Mytilus edulis: one gene and its partner. The protein of the gene in region 2 purifies or fractionates together with the protein of the main gene of each other region. This does not show direct contact. Links are inferred from orthologs where the notes say so. Each region holds a gene or a part of one and is shown on either strand. Other genes may lie near its edges.

Region 1 (12,587 bases), on a different chromosome or scaffold from region 2:
TTTTTGACATTTTTACTCTTTGAGTATGTTTGTTTTGTTCATGCATCGTTGACAATGTAATGGAATTTGATGCGACTGTCATACAAGTGAGAGGTTTAGCTAGCTATAAAACCAGGTTCAATCCACCATTTTCTACATTAGAAAATGCCTGTACCAAGTCAGGAATATGACAGTTGTTATCCATTCGTTTGATGTGTTTGGACTTTTGATTTTGCCTTTTGATTTTTGATTTTCCTTTTTGAATTTTCCTCAGAGTTCAGTATTTTTGTGTTTTTACTTTTTAAATGAAAACTAATCTACACTGTCACAGAATACCCCCAAAAAACGAAATTTATTTAACCGTTATTTTTTTAAATGAAATGATTTTTAACAGTCTTAAAATATAATTGCAAATACATTTTCGTATCATTATTGGAGAATAACTTTATACATGTATGCTTAGTTATTTGTATAACAATTGAAAAAAAAACCTGTTAATTGAATCATAATCATACAATTGCAGGATTTCAATTAACAGCAGTTTGATATATAGCACTTCACTGTTTTCATGGGTATTGAAGTGGGGCAGGGACATATATAGATATACAACGGGATTGTATCTTTTTTCATAAGTGGGTCGAGTTGGCACCAATAAAATCATCGTGTTTTTTTTATCTATTTGTTAAGAGTGGGGCGAGTTGGCAGACCTTATGTCAGCGGGATTTTAACTCTTTTCAAAAGAGGGGCATGTTATCCAACCTATTTGCAATGGAATTTTAGCCTTTTTCGTAAGTGGGGCGAGTTGGTAAACAAGAGTGGGGCAATTTTATAGAAAGTGGGGCAAGTTTGTGAAAAAGTGAGGCGATTAGGTGTGGGGCGATTTGCCAGTGGGGCGATTTGTCATGGATTCAATTTTGTCATGTGACAGTGACGTCATGAAAGATTTTTCCTGATTTACTCATGTTTTTAATGGAATTTTGAACTAAATTGTAAGGAATGACTGTATTAATGTTTGTTGTCTATTCGAAAATAACATAAAAAATGTGGTGCATACTTAAAAATTACTCTCTACACAGGTTATTCAGTATGCACCACATTTTATATGTTATTTCTTCATAGACAGAAAAAATATAACTGTCATTCCTTAAGCCAAGTTAAGGTGGAACATAACAATACAGGGAGATAACTCTGTAAAATCAGCTAAACGTTTTAATCATGGTGTATTGTTAAGGAAATATTAAGCTTCTCAATGATAAAAAATTATGTGTTTGTCAAACTGCTTAGTGGCCAAAGACCACAATTAATGATCCCGCTTTTCATTGTCCAAGAATATAGTTCCAATTAATTATAGTGTATTGTTTTTTTATTTTTATTCTTCCCCTTTCTCATAAATTTCTTAGTTTTTTTTGGGTGGAAATTAAAGAAGAGAGCTGAAATAAACTTTTGGATGTTTTATTTTAACAGATTTTGATATGGAAAGAGAGATTAGGCCAGGTGCAAAAAGGTAATATTTACACTTTTCGGAACATCTCTTGACTTGCCTACTCCACTAGTACAGAATACACCATATTTTGCAATGTTAATTGCAAGACTACAAATTAAATGTTGTGCATCTCCTACAGTGTACATGTGGTAAACAGTATGTTGGTGAGTCAGAACAGCTGTTTCACAAACGAATAAACAGTCATCGTAGCAACTACCAATGCAAGCCAGACCTCCCTCTCAGTCGATATTTGAGATCCCCTGGCCACACTAAGGCAGATCTCAACCGACTGAGCATTACAATCATTGACCACAACTCTGCTTGGTCTAGGGAGGATAGACTCACTCAGGATAGATTTTGGATAAGAAAATTAACAACTTTGGCACCAAATGGGATAAAGGAAAAGATGTAGTTAGACTTTGTGTAGTGCTTCACATTTGGGTATATATATTATATATTATTACAGTCTCTGTTTCTATTTCTTTACCTTACCTTACCTTACTCATCTTAAAATAATGATGAATATAAATACCAATTTAAATTGCTTGATTTTTTGAGGGATATAAAAGTACCAAGCCACGTTCAACTAGTTAACCGTAGTCAAAATTTATTATTATATTTTAACGGCCTTTTGTTTGCGATGTTTAATAAAGTAGACTCTGCTGTAACTCTACCGTTGTCAAATTTGAATTATTCCATGTATTTACAAATTAAGATTATTCAGTGCTGTTTATTTGAAATTTTTATTGACGCAATCGTTCTTCATAACATCATAAAGCTAAAGTTTTAGAAATGTGCTAATTCATATTGCACATTATTATTTTTATTTAAAGCATATATTTGCACTCTCTGTTGTAATTAGCCATATAACCTAGGTCATCATGGTCATGTTTAACAAATTTTTAGAATGGTTCAAGCGTTTTACCTGATGTTTGGTTCGACTTTGACAGAGCTCCAGATAAGAATTCACAAATTGGGGTTTTTACCCACTATTTTTTTATTTAATTGAGTGAAGTAGTTTTTCAATTATATTATTAATTCCAATTCACCCCTCAAGCAAATATCAAATTGGGTTTTTCACCACCAAGCTCCTGAACCTATTGTATTTTTTCATCAATACGATACTGAATTTAAGCATGTTATAATCACATTAATCTACGCTAAAGTACGTGGTTCCATACACTGAAGTGCAATGGTCCGGGAAAATATAGACGTAAAAACGTAGTTCGATAATGACGTTAACAGTTGTTTATACAAACTAAAAATGAACATACCGAAAAATATATTAGGAATATCTGATTAACAATTTTTTACACCATATGTCCATGACTTAAGAGTAATTGATTGAATTTAACAGTTTTTTGTCGGCTGAATCACAATGTTTATTTTTTTCGAGTGCTGGAAAAAGGACTTGTCCTACAGTCGACCATTTTACTATATCAATACAAAACAGTATAACGCATACTTATCCTGCTTCTATTTGAAGCGAACCGATACATTTGAATCATTGTTTATGTGGCAGTTTACTTAAGTGATCCCCGTTAAAATGCTGTCGATTTTAATGAAAAGTAACGTCGGAAAAATAGAGATACATGTTTTCATGCGTTTACTATAAATTGTCTGCTAAAACATAAGTTCGTATTGTATATTGTAGGAAAATACGGAAAAGGAGAATGCTTGGCGAACATTGCATTTCTCTCGCATTTAGATTTAAGCTTATGCAAATAAATGTTGCATTTTTCGACAATGAAAGAATTAGGGATTTTTAATAAATTTTCAATGACAATTGAAGGGAAGTTGTAACATTAGTGTGAAATGCAATCTACACCAATTATCCAAATATTCAATATGCCCCGAATTGTTAAAAATTTATTTTACATGAAATATAATATTAGCAAAACATAAATAACCTTTATAGCAATTATTACTTGGTCGGACTTGTTAATTTAGAAACAATTACTTGCCTACCGGTTCAACCATTCAATCTAAAATACCTTGAAGTCAAGAAAACTATATACGTATGTGCATAATTTCCTAAACAAACCCTGAAGCAAGAACGTATATTAAATGTTTATTAAACGACCTAGATGGTTCTCTATTTCTTTATGGAAGTACAATCTCAAATATCAGCTTTATAACTGCACTTCAGTTCTTATATGACAGAAACAGATTTATCAGAATTCAGACAATTCTAGCATTTTACCAAAACTGGTAATTCCCTCTGACGTGTTTCTAAATTTATAAATACATTGTACACTAAATATAAATACTGCTTAATTCTGATTTTCCGTGTTGTTAAAAACACGCATATAAGTCAAGGGAATTATCAAACATGAAGATTATGAAAAGAACAATATAGGAAAGTTGTTTAAGTTCGATCCCTTTGTTTGTTTTTACCTTTTAAAGCAAGACAATCATAAGAATCTGAGATGTTCCTTGATGTTTAGAATAAAACGATTGACGTGAGGGAAATGCTCTGAGCCACCAGTATAAGTCTACACATTGCTTGAAAGCAATCGTATCCCAAAAATGCTTCTATATCTTTTTTTACCAGCTTACTTTCGTTTTAATTACATATTTTCGAACATCCTGGCACTTTAAATTTCTAGGAGGTGAAATTCTCGGGATTTTACCTCAAACTCTATGGGAAAATACAATTTTTAATTACAATTTAAAACCAAACGGTAAAAGGTATCACAAAGATTTTTATAACACATGTCTAATATGATAAGGAGATTTGAAAAAACGATCTCAAATTCAATTTTAATGATTCAACAAAAATTAAATTGAGTTTTAAGTTTGTGTACCTTTATATGGTAAAACCCGAGGATTTGCCACCGCTTCAACTCCAATATTCAAATAGATAAACACAATCTAATTATCTGATTGGTCAATCTTCAGCTGTGATGCAAGCATGAAATTATGCTAAGAGTAATGTTAAATCCCAAGCAATACGTAAAGAATTATGACGACATGACTAACGCTAATTGGATAGAGACAGAGAAGATCGAAATGTTTGGTATCCGGTCATTCCGGCGCCAACTGATCAGGCCCCAAGTCAATGTGGCCCCATGTCGATCCGTCCCAAGTCGATCCGGCACACGTCGATCTGGCCCCACATCGATCTAGGAAATTATAAACTATATAGACTTTTAATTAGTATAAATGGGGGCTTCACTTAAAAGAGTACAAATATAAACAGCGTTAAATTTGTATTCCATTTGTTTGTTAGGGAGCTACCATTTGATTTTTATGGGGGGGCTAGGATGAAATTTGAAAAAAATAGGCAGGACAGGAGTTTTGAGTAAAAAAAAAGGCAGGATGAGACACTTGCAAAAAAAAAAAAGTCAGGACCACAATTTAGGTAAAAAAAGTCAGGATAAACTAAAAAAAAAAAAGGCAGGACGGAACAGAGTGAAAAATAAAAAGGCAGGACATAGATTACAGCTAAAAAAAAATGTAGGACAAAATTTTTCATCCTAGCCCTCCCATAAAAATCAAATGGTAGCTCCCTTATATATAATCATATTCAATATTTGTAATTTATCGTTGTGTCTGGACACAAAATGCATGTCAACTATATTTTGCACCGAAACCTTGCCACTAATGAATAGTTATGTTAATTGGGGCAGGGTCAACTGAAATTATGAGCCCAACAGACTTTAGCTAAAACAACATGAAAGCATATTAATTATTATCATGATGATTCATCAATCTTTATATAATTTGTGAATATACAGATACAAACTAGTTCGTAAATGAATATATTATGGTTTCTGTGTGATTTTCAAGTATCAGTAATAAACACTGGGTCGAGAATTTGCATAATCATACCTGTAACATGTACAAATGTGATAAAAGAGGCAACCGGCGTTTACAAAAATCCTTCTGGAAAATTGCTGATTTTTATTAGTGCAGCGTCAATTTGAATTTAGAATCAAGTATCATTGAACTACGTTCTCAAAAACGTAGAAGGGATCTTATTCTTATTATCCAATCGGAGCACATTTAACGTAGGTTTTATTTTTTCCCTAAAGTTTGTTATCGTGCTTTTTGATTGGACAGAGCGGGAACTTCAAAAAGCAGGTAAACACACTTGTTTAAAAATTTTAAACAGAAGAGATTCAAGAGTTCTCTGTGATTTGATGTTTTATGCAAACTACACTACAAAGGTTTAAAAGTTGACGTAAACATCTTGCAAACTTATTTTTTTATAATTAATACAGAAACGGAAAAAACCCACCAAAATATGAATTGTAAAATAGTCAAAATCGGCACCTGGTCAAATCGGCACCAGTCCTGGTTAAATCGGCACCTGATATAACTAAGCAAATGAAGCAATTGTGCCTATTATTGAAGATTGATATAGTCAATTCGGCACCCATGTTAAACATGTAAAATATATTTGATTTACATATATCTTACCAGTATTAACTATTATGTAAAAATGTATATATTTTTCTCTCTCAACTAAATGTTATTCCACCTAAACGATTGTCAAGAATGCCGAATTGACTTTAAATAGGTGCCAATTTGACTAGATGCTGATTTAACCAGGTGCCAATACACCTTATCGCTATTTGTCCGCCATTGCTGGAAATCACACAGGTTCCCGTAAAATTTTGACGTCATAAAACAAAATGTCTGACGCCACAATGGAAAAGTGATTGTTGTTGACGTCAAAAGTTCAAGCGGACGGGTCAGCCGGGAATAGCGATAAGGTGTATTTGATGACTTTATGTTTTTCTATGGGTGCCGATTTGACTAACTTGTACCCCAAAATATATATAATCTTTCTAATATTCATGGATGATAGCTGCGGAACCGTAACTCTTATGGTCCTTTTTTAATTTTTTTTGATTTTGCGGTCCGCAAATAGTCAAAAAATAACATAGGACCTAAGAGCTACGGTTCCGCAGCTACATGGATGAGTGTTCTGAAACATAAAATGTATTAAATTTTTAGGCACCTTACTTTATATATTTATCATGCATAATATAGACTAGTGAATGCTTCAGGTTTTGTCTGTAATTCGATGTGGTATAAAATACAACCGTTTATATCAGTTTGTCAAAAACGTTATTGTGCAATAACAGGGAAAAAAATTAAATTATGGTTGCCCATTGGCGACCAGAAATTGCCCTGCTGGCTATTGGCCTTTATAAGTTAATTTTGACCCCTGCAGCATTGTAAATTCATTTGCCACAGCGTCTTAACCCAGGCTATCCCAGTTTGTGCTTCAATAATAGGCACAATTGCTTCATTTGCTTAGAAATTAATAAAAATCACCACACAGCACATGTACATGTATAGTCATACACAGCCCTCTCCGGCCTAATAACACACCAGCAAGCAAGACACCTTATCGCTATTTGTTTGCCATTACTAAACCATGTAAACATCACACATGTTCCCGTAAAATTTTGATGTCATACATGTAAATGTAATACAAAATATCTGACGCTACAAAAATATTAATGGAAAAGTGATTGTTCTATGATGACAATAGTTCAAGCGGAACAGATTCTCGTGTTAGATATCTATAATACTAAAGTTACGAGGTCCAATTTGTCATAACCACAGGGTTGACACTACTAAATTGTCAAATTGTTACCTTTTGTAGTATTTTAATCAGTAAGACTTTCTGAGATAACAATACGAATACTAAAAATCTGGACTAAAAATAAAGCGTATAGGTACAGTTTTCAATTTGTTAGTGGGCATGACGTAAAACAGCAAAGCAAAGAATTCAACTTTATTTATAACTTATATAGGACAATGCTGTTGATTAAAAAATATTCCATTCCAGGACCTTTGTTTTCCAAATAATTAATATTACCAATAACTGATAAGTTCCAGTTCAACGGGTTCAAACAGAAAGACTTGATAGCAGAGAAAAACTGTGTATCTTATAATTTGTCAGCCGTCATCACGTAAAAACGACAAATCACAGAATTCAACTTTATATATAAAATATAGTACAAAGGTGTAGTTTAAAAATTACACCACTCCAGGCCCTTTTGTTTTCCACGTAATTAATATTGCCAATAATTAAGAAGTTCCGGCTCGAGTCCGCTACCAATACCAATAGTATATTCACCTGTTACCTATTACCTTATCTGTACGTTCCGCATCTGACAGGCGCACCACCAAACGTTGTATTCAGGACTAATATGCTATATACACGGGTCATAACCACAGGGTTGACACTACCAAATTGTCAAATTGTTACCTATTGTAGTATTTTAATCAGTAAGACTTTCTAAGATAACAATACGAATACTAAAAATCTGGACTAAAAATAAGGCGTATAGGTACAGTTTTCAATTTGTTAGTGGGCATGACGTAAAACAGCAAAGCAAAGAATTCAACTTTATTTATAACTTATATAGGACAATGCTGTTGATTAAAAAATATTCCATTCCAGGACCTTTTGTTTTCCAAATAATTAATATTACCAATAACTGATAAGTTCCAGTTCAACGGGTTCAAACAGAAAGACTTGATAGCAGAGAAAAACTGTGTATCTTATAATTTGTCAGCCGTCATCACGTAAAAACGACAAATCACAGAATTCAACTTTATATATAAAATATAGTACAAAGGTGTAGTTTAAAAATTACACCACTCCAGGCCCTTTTGTTTTCCACGTAATTAATATTGCCAATAATTAAGAAGTTCCGGCTCGAGTCCGCTACCAATACCAATAGTATATTCACCTGTTACCTATTACCTTATCTGTACGTTCCGCATCTGACAGGCGCACCACCAAACGTTGTATTCAGGACTAATATGCTATATACACGGGTCATAACCACAGGGTTGACACTACCAAATTGTCAAATTGTTACCTATTGTAGTATTTTAATCAGTAAGACTTTCTAAGATAACAATACGAATACTAAAAATCTGGACTAAAAATAAGGCGTATAGGTACAGTTTTCAATTTGTTAGTGGGCATGACGTAAAACAGCAAAGCAGAGAATTCAACTTTATTTATAACTTATATAGGACAATGCTGTTGATTGAAAAATACTCCATTCCAGGACCTTTTGTTTTCCAAATAATTAATATTACCAATAACTGATAAGTTACAGTTCAACGGGTTCAAACAGAAAGACTTGAAAGCAGAGAAAAACTGTGTATCTTATAATCGACATGACTTTATCATATGACAATACTAATACTAAAATAAGGCTTGCGCATACTTATATATACTTTAATTCAGTCACGGACCCGTGATATCACGGGTGTGTTCTAGTACACATATAAGTAAATAAATGATGTTTGAATAATCTCCCCTTAATTTTCTCAAAAGTAAATTTTTCTTACAATCCCACAAAAGTCCTCAAGTTTTGAGATGTAAATTCATGCCTTTAACATGTTTAATGATTTTCCCAGGTTTGCTCAATTTTTTTTATACTGAAATAAGTGATTTTTAAATCACTTGTATTTGAGTAGCAAATTCGAGGTTTTGTCACAAATTTGGATTTTGTAGTTTTTTAAAAATTTTAAACACATAGGTTTAAATAACATCTTTTAATTAGTAAAATTAAAAAATATGAACTTTTTGCTTCTTTTAAGTAGCAAGGTTTATGCCTTTGATGCTATCATTTACCTGAAAATTCTATTTTAGTTGAAAAAATGCTATAATAATGGCTTTACATAATGAACTCATACTTTCTTAACAGATTTTTCCCAGCAGTGGGAGTATTTTTCCTGTGAAGTTCAAGGTTTTCATCTTTCAGATTATGTAATAAAATTCTACTGTTCGCGATAAAAATTTCACTGTTCGGGGGTGTTGAAATTAGTGGGGCCGGGGTTATTAAAAGAATGATACTTAAAGAAGTGATTTTTGGGAAGGAAATTGAGGTCTGGTACTTAAACAAGTGATTTTTATGTCATTATCCTAGATTCAGTACAAGGTCATCACCTGAAATGACCTGGTCATCCTAGACAACACAGATGTTGGTTCTGATAAGTTTAGAAACATAATTAGTCCCTGGATCATTAGTATTCTATATCTAAACATGCTAAAGCTACACTAATATTAAATCACTTCTTCTAGTGATTAATTTGTACTACTTAAATAGGTGATTATTAAAGAATCTGATTGCGCAAAGATCTTAAGTACTTGCGCAAGGCCTTCAAAAATTGCTCCTTGGGGCAGGGTTGGAAAAAACCTGGGTTTACTTATATATACACATGGAAAAAAGTATTGCAACACCAAATTGAAATTGAAATTAAAAAAACACTTTTTATTTTTTTGTGATATAATTTGGTAAAATAGAACTAATTAAACATTATTTAAGTATCACCTGAGTTTAATCAATAAATATCGATTCGATAAGTTTTTATCTGCACATGCAGCTACTGTACCCGTAAACAGCAAAACAGATGTTTTCATCCTCATTGTTTTCAACACTTTAAATAACCAAGTTTTTAAAGTTATGTGATTGACACCTTGTAATGAGTCCTCTACAACTCTAAACTGCAGCAAGATGGCAGATTATCAGCATGAGAGAAGCAGGGATGTCGCTGAAACAACTGCACGTATTTTTGGTCATCACCATTCCACTATAAGTCGTTTTGAGAATAAAAATAAGGCACTAAACAATGTTAAAGACCTTCCGAGATAACATGGATAAAGAAGACCCCCTATACCATTTGCTAGGGAAAATCAAGCATAATGAAGGTTGGTCAGAAGGAAACCCATTGCATACAATACAATTCTAAAAAGAGAGTGGTGGGCATACAGGAGCCTTTTAACAAGAACTGTTCGAGATCGACTCATCGCTACTGGTTATCGTGCGATAAGACCATTTCGGATACATTTGCTTACGAACAGACACACAGTTTTCCGTATCCAATGTAGTGCAGAGCTCGCTAAAGTTGAAAATTAGCATCGTTGAGGAAGATCCATTGTTCCAATGGAATTCGGTTCATCTTCCTTGGACGGATCGTAGCCCGGATTTGAACCATATCGAGCATATATGGGACACTATTGGGCGGAACGTGCGCGAAAGGACACCCCAGTTCAAACACATAATGAAATAAACAATGCCTTTCATCAGAAATGGTTGCTGCTACCTTAGCAACAAATAAGTCGATTTTTGGCAAGAATCAGGAGACGTTTAGATGCGGTTATCCGTTTGAATGGAGGCTGCGCACAAAGTACTAATTATTTGGCGTATAACGATCAACCATGATGTGAACAGTCATCTGAAGATTAATTTTGAAATGTCTGACATTGTAAAGTTCGACTACAGTAAAAGTTGGAAAATGCATTTTTTTGTACAAAAAACACTTCATTTTGTTATTAAAATTGTGGTTATATAAATCTTTTTTTTTTCAAACATTTTTTGTTTGTTTCAATGCCAATGTTATCATAAACTATGTTTCAATAATATTATACAAATATTTTATTATATTTCATCCAAAAAAAGAGGCTGATTTTTCAAATTTTTAAAAATCAAGGTGTTGCAATACTTTTTTCCATGTGTATACATGTAAGTATATTAATATTACTTCTTCAAGTAATTAAAAATAACTTGTACAAGAAGTACCCCTGACTGACTGGACATCACAAAAGGCTCACTTAAAATTTTGATGTTGTTTTAGAAAATTTCTGACAACATAATGTAAAAGTGATTTCAAATGGTTAGGGGGGAAAAGCTTCTTGTGTCAAGTGTGAGAGATTTTCAAATAGCTATAAGGTGTATCAGTCTGTCAAAAAAGGTATGGTGGAAAGCACAATGTAAGGTCAAATGTCAGAACTGTAAAAGTCCATAATGAAAGATGATAATTGATTACTATGCCATATTTTATTTTCAAATATATTTATAAAATTATCTTGGAAAAACCTTTTTATGATGAATAAGGCTTTGAAGAAAAGATTATATTCATTGACATTGTTAACAGTCATTTTATTCCTATTTCCTAGCGTAGAGAGCAAAAAAAGATTAAATGTGTACTTCAGTCATTTTGTCAGTCGAATCTCTGAATCAACCAACTTTTCAGTCCCATGATAGGACTTTCTGGGCATAGCCAGAACTTGAATGAAGCAGTCCCAAAATCAATTTGGCAAATTGGCCATGGATTGGAGCCAGTATACATTGTTGATAGCTCTAACTTAGTTCATTTCAGCCATTTACCACTTTGGCCGTGAAAAATATCATTTTAAGTCATTTTTGCCATTATTTTATAATTTGATTTCCAAATAAAAGAGTTTAATTGTATATACATGTACATGTATAATTTCATCCACCTTAGTTTATTGCTATTTGTCTAACATTACTGGACATTACAAAGGTTCTTGTAAAATTTTGACCTCACAATTAGAAAAATATTTGACACTACCATGACTACGTATACCATGTATACCATCATTGACCATGTAAAAGTGACTGTTGTATGAAGTCAAAAGGTCAAGTTGTAGATTTCCAAATACCTTTAGGATTTTTACATCTGAAATTACTTGTTTCAGTAAACGTACATGACATACTAGTGATACAAAAAAGTCTTGTGTCTATTCTTGTGAAAATTTTCAAATTTTCTAAACTAAAATCACATGTTAAGTTTATGTATTACCTCTGATAATATTTTTCAAAACTAAAATCACTTGTTGATGTAATACCTCTGATAAAAATTTTCAAAACTAAAATCACTTGTTTATGTTTACAATACCTCTGATAAAAAAATTCAAAACTAAAATCACTAGTTTATGTTATACCTCTGATAAAAAATTTTAAACTAAAATCACTTGTTTATGTAATACCTCTGATAAAAAAATTCAAAACTAAAACCACTTGTTTATGTAATACCTCTGATAAAAAATTTCAAAACTAAAATCACTTGTTTATGTAATACCTCTGATAAATGAATATATGTAGGGTTTTACTTCTCAAATTACTTGTTTCAGTATATATGTACTAGTGATAGCAAAAAATCTTGTGTCTATTGTTGTGAAAATTTTCAATTTTTCAAAACTTAAATCACTTGTTTATGTAATACCTCTGATAAATGGATATATTAATTTTTTTATATTTGATTTTAGTTTGAAATGGGTGGTACACACACAAGGATAGAACAAAATGAAGATGCCCTTACACCTCCACGTCAGGGA
Region 2 (12,466 bases):
ACTTGTTTTACCAATATGAAAGTTTTTTTCTGCACGTTTCTTGAACTTTCATGTTAATTTCATAACATTTCTGACATAAAACTCAGCTGCAAATTGTCATAGAAAAAACTAAATAAATCTGCAGGGGAAAATGTGACTTTTAAATCAGTTTTAAACCACAAATTATAACTTCTTTCCGTGGCTGATATTAGTGGATAACATGCTTTAATTTTCAAATTTTGAAGAAAAAAATCTGATTCAATGAGTATGATCGTATTTATATTTTCATATGAAGGGAGCAGTTTTTATTATTTTTTTTATCACATTTCCCCTGCAAACATGACACAGCACAAATATTCAGTTTTTTCCAAGTTTAATAATAAGTATAATTTTTACAATAACCAATAACAAGATTTCAGAAACAAAACAATCAACAAATTGTAACAATTAACAATACAAGCTTGATCAGAATACAGTTCTATTAAGACTCAATATGAAAGACTGTAAATTGTTATAATGAACACGCCAGTTCAACTAAGACAATATTTTATTATAAAAGTTGAACCTCTGGGCCCCTGGGTCAGTAATTTGAACTTCCAAATTAGCTAAATTTGGCACACTAGTTTTTCCTGAGGGATTTAAATTAAAAACCTCAATTTAAAACAATTATCAGGACTGTTAAAACATTCAAGAAATGATTTGCAAGTTTCAAAAGTATTAAAACGATTCCATATTCATGGGTTAACTTCATTAGTATTTCAGTTATATATTATATATATATATATATATCCCAATGAACACATTAAAAATGCACATCAAAATGGATTAAAAAATATTTCATTTATCACAAAGGATTGTTCATACAGAAAAATAACAAAACATCTAAGAATTCCTTATTTGTAGGTCATTATATAGGTGTTAAAGTTACTTTGCTTATAATAATTTCAACTTTTGTATTTCTCAAATAGATAGGTTTCTCATTTACCTTGTTCAGTGAAGTAAAAATGTCAATAGAAATTAGAGAGGAAATTTAAATAGATTTGTCCCAAGTAAATACAGTACAAACAAACGTTAAAATCAATATCAGAGAACCAACACATGGTTCAACAAAATATAGTTATTTAGTCAATATAACTTTGAAAGAAATTTTGATATGCCTGTTCTAGCATATTCCTTACAAGGTCTGTTCATAATACTGTGTGGAAATCTACATTACAATTGAATTTTCGCTATGAAACATGCCATTATGTAACTTAAAGCCCTATCAACAATTTCTGTTTGTTAAAAAAATCGAATATTAATATGTCTTTACTACATGTAGTTGGATGCAACATGGAATAGATAAAAATCATTAAAATTACATCTCTCTAAAAAATAATGCACCATAGCCTAATTCAACCCCCCTTTTTTATACCACACCTTTATTAACTGAAATTAAAAGCCATGTGGTGCTGCCTTTGATCAATATGTAGGGAAATAATATCATAATCAATAAACATTAAAAATATATCCAATGTGTGACCATTCAATAAACTTCTAACAGTCACGGCCACATCTTTTGATGGATAAAAAGAATATAAAAACTTGGTTAATGGATCGTATATTGGCTTACATATATAAATGAGAAGACCTGTAGAATAGTCATTATTTTGGGGTAATTAATACACCTACAGGGCATAAATATTTTATTTGTAAAGTTCAAATAAGGCATGCGATTAAAAACAATACTTTTCTCTACCTCATTCCTGATTAGCTGATTCCTAACTGCTTTACAATACCACTTAAATAACAATGCAGAAAGGCAAGCCATTCTGCTTCATAAGTTTATAAATTCAAGAGTCATCCTTTTCACTGGCAAATTCGAGATTTTACTTTGGAAGCAACCTGCTTGGTTCTCCGCAAAGCTTCATGGCTTACAACATTTTTTATATCTTTTTTTTCTTTTCTTTTACTATTTTTTTGGCCCTAAAACTGTTGCAACTTAGAAATCTGTTACACAAACAAATATTATCTGAATCAAATTAAGTATCTTGCCTCCCTTTCACTATGATTTACATTTAGTCGCAACAGTCCAGGAGTTTTTTAAATTTTTTTTTTTATTAATTTTTGTTGTATTGGTTGTTGTAGCTCTTTTTTTTTTAACAATTCCTTTTTTTGGGGGTTCATATATCAAACCCTTTGAGTAAAACATGTACATGCACTTACAAATTCAAAACAACATATATATAAAAATTGTCCAAATACTCTGGCAAATTCGTTATAAAAACATAAGATCCTACCAATCGCTCCTTAACGGGTTCTGGTGAATCGTAAAAACTTTCTTACAAACTCGGTAAAAATCTCTCCCCATGTTAACTTAAAAAAATATGTTAACCCAAACAAATTAGATTTGTCTTGGCTACAAATCTGGATTTCAAGTATTGCCTGTGTACGTTGTTCAGACAGACCATGATATATTTTACCACCCCTACTAACTGACACATTTAATAATAATATCTAGGGGAGATAACTTTTAAAAAATAAATCCAATGTCACCAGCTGTAAAGGGTGGCACCTTGAAAACCAGACTTGCAGTCCCTGATAAAACTATATATCACAGATGGAATAGGTGAGCACACTGGTTATTACTATAACTAATAGTTGCCCTTGCAGTGTGTCCCATAATATATCCAAACCTCTCCCTTTCTCTACCTTATTGTAAACATCCTATAGCCTGTTTCATACAACTCAATTTGGTTAAACCTCCTTAAAATATCATTACATACACCATTATTATACTGTAATATTCATAACTTAAATTCTTGTTTGAAACAGGCTATAGGTTAAAAAATTCAATTTGATATTCTACTCTCCATTGCATTTAATAAAATTTTAACATTCACTTTCTTATATATATGATATCACTCATATGTATTAATCAATTTCAACAAGTATACACAAACTGATAACAATAATTACACACTTGCAAAAATATAACATGATTAGTGTGAGCCATATGATACACGACACCATATGAACCAAACATTAAAAGCTATACACATTCGCATAAACAATAGTTTTAAATTTTCCAAATATGATTTTTTTTAAGAATTTGTGGTTAATTGCTAACTGATATGCAATATTTGTATTTTATTATTATTTTTTTCTGTTAATTGTCATGATTATGTTATTTTGTACATTGTAAATGTAATAAGGAAATAAACTAAAGTTGATTTTCTAAAAATCAACATGATTTGAATTTTGTTGATCAATGTATTTTGGACTACTAATTTAAAACTTCTTTCATCCAATACTCTAAATTTATCTTACACTACATTTAGTGAAATTTACACAACAACAATGTATGCATGGCAATAATGAATTATGCAAAATGGCAACAAGACCAGTACTTCAAACATGATATTAAATATGAACTATGTTAAACAAGTGATAAAGGCTATATTCTAATTTTTGTTTCTTTTTTCAATAACATACATGAAAGAAAATTATTTACTGTGTTAAAATAAACTCTGAAGATATTTACACCTAACAAATAATGCACTTATTAATCATGTTAATTGTATTTGTCAATAATCCATCCATGGTCATGTCATGATAATTTTTAACGGATTTTTATTCATTACGTTCTATGAAGCAGTGACAAGGTTTTATTGATGATAGCATATTACTTTTTTTCATTTCACACAACATTCACACATTTTACTGACAATCGGGAGAACTTGGGTAACTTGAGAAAGAACCTTCACTGTCACGTTTAACACTTACACCACTGCACTTTGCCCTGAGAATTTCACACTGCTGCTTGTAGAACCGGCACTCGCGCATCAATACAGCTTGCTGTCTCTGAAGTTGACGAACTTGACTTTCTAATGTTTTATTAGTCACCTCTAAACTTTGACGTTGATGCATTCGTTTAGAACGACAATTTTGAGCATAGCCTCTATTTTTTAATGTTCGTCTTTTTTGTTTCAGTTTTACTACATCTTCTTTAGGTAATCCTTGAAGACGACGATTGAGTTCTCTCACTGGTAGTGCAACTAGTTCTTCATCTTCAAGTGAATTAAGACTTTCTTCTGTTTTGGATTTAGTTGAACTTGTACTTGAATGACTAAGAGATCTTTTTATTGAAGGAATTTTGGTTGGTGCTGCCTTGTCCTCCAGCATGCCCCGACGACTTAATGATTGCTTCCCAGCTTCTGCACCAGAAACCAAATATTTACTAAAGTTTTGAACAAATTCAGGACTGGATGATATCAAACAATCTACATCTTCATCAATTTCTTCCTCCAGACTTTGTGTGGACTTTTGACTATTGCTAAAGCTTGTTTTTAATTTCATGTCAGTCTCAAACACACTTTGAGTAAGCCAGTTAAGACCGCTAAATACACTAGAATTACTATCTGAAGGACTTGGAACCTCGTCGCTGTAAGTTGGAGAAGGGGGTACACTCAAATCTGAGCAAGGTGTGGTCGCTCCTGAAGATCCACTTCGCGAGGACACATCACTTCGTTTACAACAGTTGCTATACCTATCTTCTATTTCCTTCTTTACTTCGGAAGCATCCAATAACTGATCCAAGTCGAAATCGGTAATATAATCATTCGCAAGATGTTGGTCGGGTTCCATATTGGATTTGATCAGCTGGCCGGCAGATCACCTCGTGTTCGTTTCAAATTAGGTCAGAAGAATCGAGATAATTTTCTTGTATTTAGACCACTTTTCTTGTGAAATTTTTGTCAAGATTGTTGTAAATGTTAGATTAAACGTTCGTTTGAGCCTTTAAATACTCACTTCTTCCATTCAAGTCCTTAATTTTGTTCAGAAATGTAGCGGCGGTCCAAGGGCAAACAACCACCGACTACCTGAACGAGAGCAGGCAACAACGAGCAAATAAGGGGAATCCCGGCTGCTTTTATACTATGTCGAACGTCAAATCCCAAAATAGCTATGGATGCAAAAGTTAACCAATCAATGCAAAGTATAAGCTGTATTTTTAGAACCAGAAATATTGACCGACTTTCCTAATGTCACTTGAACGTTTTACAGCACAGAGAAAAACAAATATCAACGAGTAACAAAATTGACAGAAACGATTACTAGGTTGTGCAATACCTTGACATATGGCGGGAAACGAACATGTTCAAACAGCTGTCTTTTAACTTATATTTATGATTTGAATTTGCTAAACTTTTTAAGTGTATATTAATAATTCATCTGGAACTACATTGAAGTTGTACAATTTTTAATATACAAGTGCGCATTAGAGGACGATAATTGTGTGTTTTTTTAAGGTCGATGCAGGAGTATTATTTTTGCCCAACTCGGAAAATCGTTTTTTGATTCCTGCAATTGGTGTTGCAGAATATTAATTACATTTGGTAATAATATGACAAGTTTGTTTTTTCTACAGCAAACCAAGACCGGGTATTTTTTTAAAAATCACCCCCCTATTTTTTATTTAATGAAAATGGTTGCCCTTTATATCTAAAAAAAACAACAAAAAAACTAAGTCTTTGGACTTTGATGCTTTTTTTTCAATATTTCTATAGTTATGTGTAAGTATTTTAATATCCTCCTATTTTACTTAATGGAATTTCTCGAAACTTTTTATGTTCTCATACTTTTGTCATAGCATAAAAAGAAGAAAATTTAACTAGAATTTCTTTCTTTTTTTCCAAATATGTCTTATGTTTATAAACATTTCCATTCCCAAAATATTTTTTATAATAAAAAGTAATAAAAATATTTTTATTTTCTTTATTTCTTTAGAATTCATGATAATTATAACCCCCAAATCTACTATATTTTCTTAACAAAAAGTGATAAAATGTTGCAATTTTATCAAGTTCTCTAATTAATTTTTACATTTAAATACTTAGAAAATCATTTAAATAGTTATAAAAACACCTATTGTTCTTATATAATATTTTTGTTGGCATTCAAGGAATAGGTAGCATATAAAATGTTGGCATTCAAGGAAGACACCCTTAGGATAATCCCCCCAAAATAGTATATTTGTTCATTAATACGATATTAATTATGGTAAAACAGGTTTGTGTGGCTGGAACCTTGTTGGGGAATTCGTGTCTAATTGGAAAAGTAAATGTTTTTAAAACAAACTGTCAACTTGAGCGTATCTCTTGAAAATACCATGTAGAGGGACACTTTCCGTAGTTATATAATTGTATTAATTTTACTATGAACATACTTTTTTGTATATCGGTCAATGGTATTTATATATCTGTACTATATATGTGCTCTTGTAACCAGTGTATAAGTATTTTTGCTTATCTATAAACACTCAATCGTATTTGTACTACAATGTATTACATTAGAAATAGGAGAAAACATCAAATTCAATATCAAAGCGGCAGTATCTGTCAAATTAAGAAATAATTCTTTCATGCCATGCTCTATGCTCATTTTAACATGGGTAGGCATTATATTTGTTAATATCTTAATACCGAGCGTTAGCGAGGTATTAAATGTTTACAAATATAATGCCTTACCATGTTAAAATGAGCATAGAGCATGGCATGATAGAATTATTTCGATTCTAATAGGACTATTTTGAACTTTTGTACTTTTGTACTTCGAAGCGGACCTACAGTATACGCTAAATGTCGCCATTTTGATTTGATGAACACAAACGTTATAGAAAAATCAACAGTTTATCAAGAAAGAAAAAAAACAGAAACATTTAAACCTACTTTTAGATTGTTTTTATTTAATTTCCTAGCAAGCAACACCAACAAAAATGTCCATTTGGATCTCTGGCGTTGTTCAAAATTCATCTGACGTTGCAATTTCAATTGTGACGGCAATCACGTGCAGCCCATGTTCTATTCGAATTAGAACATGGCTTTGTACCCAAAGCTAAAGAAGAACGTCATATTATAATTCTTTATAACCAATTTGATCCAAATTCTCATATTTATTTTATAACCTATCTATATATACTAAATAAACCGTATGTCTTAGCCAGTCAATAAGTAAAAAAAACCCTTAACAATGCGAAACGCACGTGATATATAAATAATATACCATATTGAAGATAGACTATACTGGAAACCCTTATGAACTAACAGTACTTTATCAGCGGTGTAACATAGACTATACTGGAAACCCTTATGAACTAACAGTACTTTATCGGCGGTGTAACATAGACTATACTGGAAAACCTTATGAACTAACAGTCCTTTATCAGCGGTGTAACATAGACTATACTGGAAACCCTTATAAACTAACACTACTTTATCGGCGGTGTAATATAGACTATACTGGAAACCCTTATTAGCTAACAGTCCTTTATCGGCGGTGTAACATAGACTATACTGGAAACCCTTATGAACTAATAGTTCTTTATCGGCGGTGTAACATAGACTATATATACTGGAAACCTTTGTGAACTAACAGTACTTTATCGGCGGTGTAACATAGACTATACTGGAAACCCTTATGAACTAACAGTCCTTTATCGGCGGTGTAACATAGACTATACTGGAAACCCTTATGAACTAACAGTCCTTTATCGGCGGTGTAATATAGACTATAATGGAAACCCTTATGAACTAACAGTCCTTTATCGGCGGTGTAACATAGACTATACTGGAAACCCTTATGAACTAACAGTCCTTTATCGGCGGTGTAACAGACTATACTGTAAACCCTTATAAACTAACAGTCCTTTATCGGCGGTGTAACATAGACTATACTGGAAACCTTTGTGAACTAACAGTACTTTATCGGCGGTGTAACATAGACTATACTGGAAACCCGTATGAACTAACAGTCCTTTATCGGCGGTGTAATATAGACTATACTGTAAACCCTTATGAACTTACAGTCCTTTATCGGCGGTGTAACATAGACTATACTGGAAACCCTTATGAACTAACAGTCCTTTATCGGGGGTGTAACATAGACTATACTGTAAACCCTTATGAACTAACAGTCCTTTATCGGCGGTGTAACATAGACTATACTGGAAACCTGTGTGAACTAACAGTACTTTATCGGTGGTGTAACATAGACTATACTGGAAACCCTTATGAACTAACAGTCCTTTATCGGCGGTGTAATATAGACTATACTGTAAACCCTTATGAACTAACAGTCCTTTATCGGCGGTGTAATATAGACTATACTGGAAACCCTTATGAACTAACTAACAGTCCTTTATCGGCGGTGTAACATAGACTATACTGTAAACCCTTATGAACTAACAGTCCTTTATCGGCGGTGTAATATAGACTATACTGTAAACCCTTATGAACTAACAGTCCTTTATCGGCGGTGTAATATAGACTATACTGTAAACCCTTATGAACTAACAGTCCTTTATCGGGGGTGTAACATAGACTATACTGAAACCCTTATGAACTAACAGTCCTTTATCGGCGGTTTAACATAGACTTTACTGGAAACCCTTATGTTTAACAGTCCTTTATCGGTGGTGTCGACCCAATGATTTTAAAGCAAAGAGAAACATATAAAGACTGGGTGAATGATTATGATATCCTTATGGACTAACAGCCGAAAATCAGTGATCTCAACCCTATGTTATAAATCAAAGAGAAAGATAGAATATTGGGTGAACTACCCTTTCATGGAATAACAGCCGATCATCAGTAATGTCTTCCCATTAGTTGTAAATCAAAGAAAAAAGTAAAATCACAAAAAATAATCCCCCCAAAATAATATATTTGTTCATTAATACGATATTAATTATGGTAAAACAGGTTTGTGTGGCTGGAACCTTGTTGGGGAATTCGTGTCTAATTGGAAAAGTAAATGTTTTTAAAACAAACTGTCAACTTGAGCGTATCTCTTGAAAATACCATGTAGAGGGACACTTTCCGTAGTTATATAATTGTATTAATTTTACTATGAACATACTTTTTTGTATATCGGTCAATGGTATTTATATATCTGTACTATATATGTGCTCTTGTAACCAGTGTATAAGTATTTTTGCTTATCTATAAACACTCAATCGTATTTGTACTACAATGTATTACATTAGAAATAGGAGAAAACATCAAATTCAATATCAAAGCGGCAGTATCTGTCAAATTAAGAAATAATTCTTTCATGCCATGCTCTATGCTCATTTTAACATGGGTAGGCATTATATTTGTTAATATCTTAATACCGAGCGTTAGCGAGGTATTAAATGTTTACAAATATAATGCCTTACCATGTTAAAATGAGCATAGAGCATGGCATGATAGAATTATTTCGATTCTAATAGGACTATTTTGAACTTTTGTACTTTTGTACTTCGAAGCGGACCTACAGTATACGCTAAATGTCGCCATTTTGATTTGATGAACACAAACGTTATAGAAAAATCAACAGTTTATCAAGAAAGAAAAAAAACAGAAACATTTAAACCTACTTTTAGATTGTTTTTATTTAATTTCCTAGCAAGCAACACCAACAAAAATGTCCATTTGGATCTCTGGCGTTGTTCAAAATTCATCTGACGTTGCAATTTCAATTGTGACGGCAATCACGTGCAGCCCATGTTCTATTCGAATTAGAACATGGCTTTGTACCCAAAGCTAAAGAAGAACGTCATATTATAATTCTTTATAACCAATTTGATCCAAATTCTCATATTTATTTTATAACCTATCTATATATACTAAATAAACCGTATGTCTTAGCCAGTCAATAAGTAAAAAAAAAACCTTAACAATGCGAAACGCACGTGATATATAAATAATATACCATATTGAAGATAGACTATACTGGAAACCCTTATGAACTAACAGTACTTTATCAGCGGTGTAACATAGACTATACTGGAAACCCTTATGAACTAACAGTACTTTATCGGCGGTGTAACATAGACTATACTGGAAAACCTTATGAACTAACAGTCCTTTATCAGCGGTGTAACATAGACTATACTGGAAACCCTTATAAACTAACACTACTTTATCGGCGGTGTAATATAGACTATACTGGAAACCCTTATTAGCTAACAGTCCTTTATCGGCGGTGTAACATAGACTATACTGGAAACCCTTATGAACTAATAGTTCATTATCGGCGGTGTAACATAGACTATATATACTGGAAACCTTTGTGAACTAACAGTACTTTATCGGCGGTGTAACATAGACTATACTGGAAACCCTTATGAACTAACAGTCCTTTATCGGCGGTGTAACATAGACTATACTGGAAACCCTTATGAACTAACAGTCCTTTATCGGCGGTGTAATATAGACTATAATGGAAACCCTTATGAACTAACAGTCCTTTATCGGCGGTGTAACATAGACTATACTGGAAACCCTTATGAACTAACAGTCCTTTATCGGCGGTGTAACAGACTATACTGTAAACCCTTATAAACTAACAGTCCTTTATCGGCGGTGTAACATAGACTATACTGGAAACCTTTGTGAACTAACAGTACTTTATCGGCGGTGTAACATAGACTATACTGGAAACCCGTATGAACTAACAGTCCTTTATCGGCGGTGTAATATAGACTATACTGTAAACCCTTATGAACTTACAGTCCTTTATCGGCGGTGTAACATAGACTATACTGGAAACCCTTATGAACTAACAGTCCTTTATCGGGGGTGTAACATAGACTATACTGTAAACCCTTATGAACTAACAGTCCTTTATCGGCGGTGTAACATAGACTATACTGGAAACCTGTGTGAACTAACAATACTTTATCGGTGGTGTAACATAGACTATACTGGAAACCCTTATGAACTAACAGTCCTTTATCGGCGGTGTAATATAGACTATACTGTAAACCCTTATGAACTAACAGTCCTTTATCGGCGGTGTAATATAGACTATACTGGAAACCCTTATGAACTAACTAACAGTCCTTTATCGGCGGTGTAACATAGACTATACTGTAAACCCTTATGAACTAACAGTCCTTTATCGGCGGTGTAATATAGACTATACTGTAAACCCTTATGAACTAACAGTCCTTTATCGGCGGTGTAATATAGACTATACTGTAAACCCTTATGAACTAACAGTCCTTTATCGGGGGTGTAACATAGACTATACTGAAACCCTTATGAACTAACAGTCCTTTATCGGCGGTTTAACATAGACTTTACTGGAAACCCTTATGTTTAACAGTCCTTTATCGGTGGTGTAACATAGACTATACTGGAAACCCTTATGAACTAACAGTACTTTATCGGCGGTGTAACATAGACTATACTGGAAAACCTTATGAACTAACAGTCCTTTATCAGCGGTGTAACATAGACTATACTGGAAACCCTTATAAACTAACACTACTTTATCGGCGGTGTAATATAGACTATACTGGAAACCCTTATTAGCTAACAGTCCTTTATCGGCGGTGTAACATAGACTATACTGGAAACCCTTATGAACTAATAGTTCTTTATCGGCGGTGTAACATAGACTATATATACTGGAAACCTTTGTGAACTAACAGTACTTTATCGGCGGTGTAACATAGACTATACTGGAAACCCTTATGAACTAACAGTCCTTTATCGGCGGTGTAACATAGACTATACTGGAAACCCTTATGAACTAACAGTCCTTTATCGGCGGTGTAATATAGACTATAATGGAAACCCTTATGAACTAACAGTCCTTTATCGGCGGTGTAACATAGACTATACTGGAAACCCTTATGAACTAACAGTCCTTTATCGGCGGTGTAACAGACTATACTGTAAACCCTTATAAACTAACAGTCCTTTATCGGCGGTGTAACATAGACTATACTGGAAACCTTTGTGAACTAACAGTACTTTATCGGCGGTGTAACATAGACTATACTGGAAACCCGTATGAACTAACAGTCCTTTATCGGCGGTGTAATATAGACTATACTGTAAACCCTTATGAACTTACAGTCCTTTATCGGCGGTGTAACATAGACTATACTGGAAACCCTTATGAACTAACAGTCCTTTATCGGGGGTGTAACATAGACTATACTGTAAACCCTTATGAACTAACAGTCCTTTATCGGCGGTGTAACATAGACTATACTGGAAACCTGTGTGAACTAACAGTACTTTATCGGTGGTGTAACATAGACTATACTGGAAACCCTTATGAACTAACAGTCCTTTATCGGCGGTGTAATATAGACTATACTGTAAACCCTTATGAACTAACAGTCCTTTATCGGCGGTGTAATATAGACTATACTGGAAACCCTTATGAACTAACTAACAGTCCTTTATCGGCGGTGTAACATAGACTATACTGTAAACCCTTATGAACTAACAGTCCTTTATCGGCGGTGTAATATAGACTATACTGTAAACCCTTATGAACTAACAGTCCTTTATCGGCGGTGTAATATAGACTATACTGTAAACCCTTATGAACTAACAGTCCTTTATCGGGGGTGTAACATAGACTATACTGAAACCCTTATGAACTAACAGTCCTTTATCGGCGGTTTAACATAGACTTTACTGGAAACCCTTATGTTTAACAG

Evidence for each region.
Region 1: the proteins of transcription factor Maf-like (region 2) and ubiquitin carboxyl-terminal hydrolase 5-like purify together in Homo sapiens (affinity purification with western blotting; 3 studies listed by BioGRID, with this or other methods). This does not show direct contact. The link is inferred for Mytilus edulis from reciprocal best matches to the Homo sapiens genes MAF and USP5.

What each region holds. Positions count from the first base shown.
Region 1 is NC_092356.1:61,376,448-61,389,034, forward strand, and holds the start of ubiquitin carboxyl-terminal hydrolase 5-like, read right to left. Parts: upstream 5,462-12,587; 5' UTR 5,297-5,461; intron 1-5,296. Other genes in the region: cell division cycle-associated protein 3-like, read left to right, coding at 5,608-5,634, 12,519-12,587. UniProt on the Homo sapiens protein: Deubiquitinating enzyme that participates in a wide range of cellular processes by specifically cleaving isopeptide bonds between ubiquitin and substrate proteins or ubiquitin itself.
Region 2 is NC_092348.1:28,660,591-28,673,056, reverse strand, and holds the start of transcription factor Maf-like, read right to left. Parts: upstream 4,906-12,466; 5' UTR 4,606-4,905; coding exon 3,679-4,605; 3' UTR 1-3,678.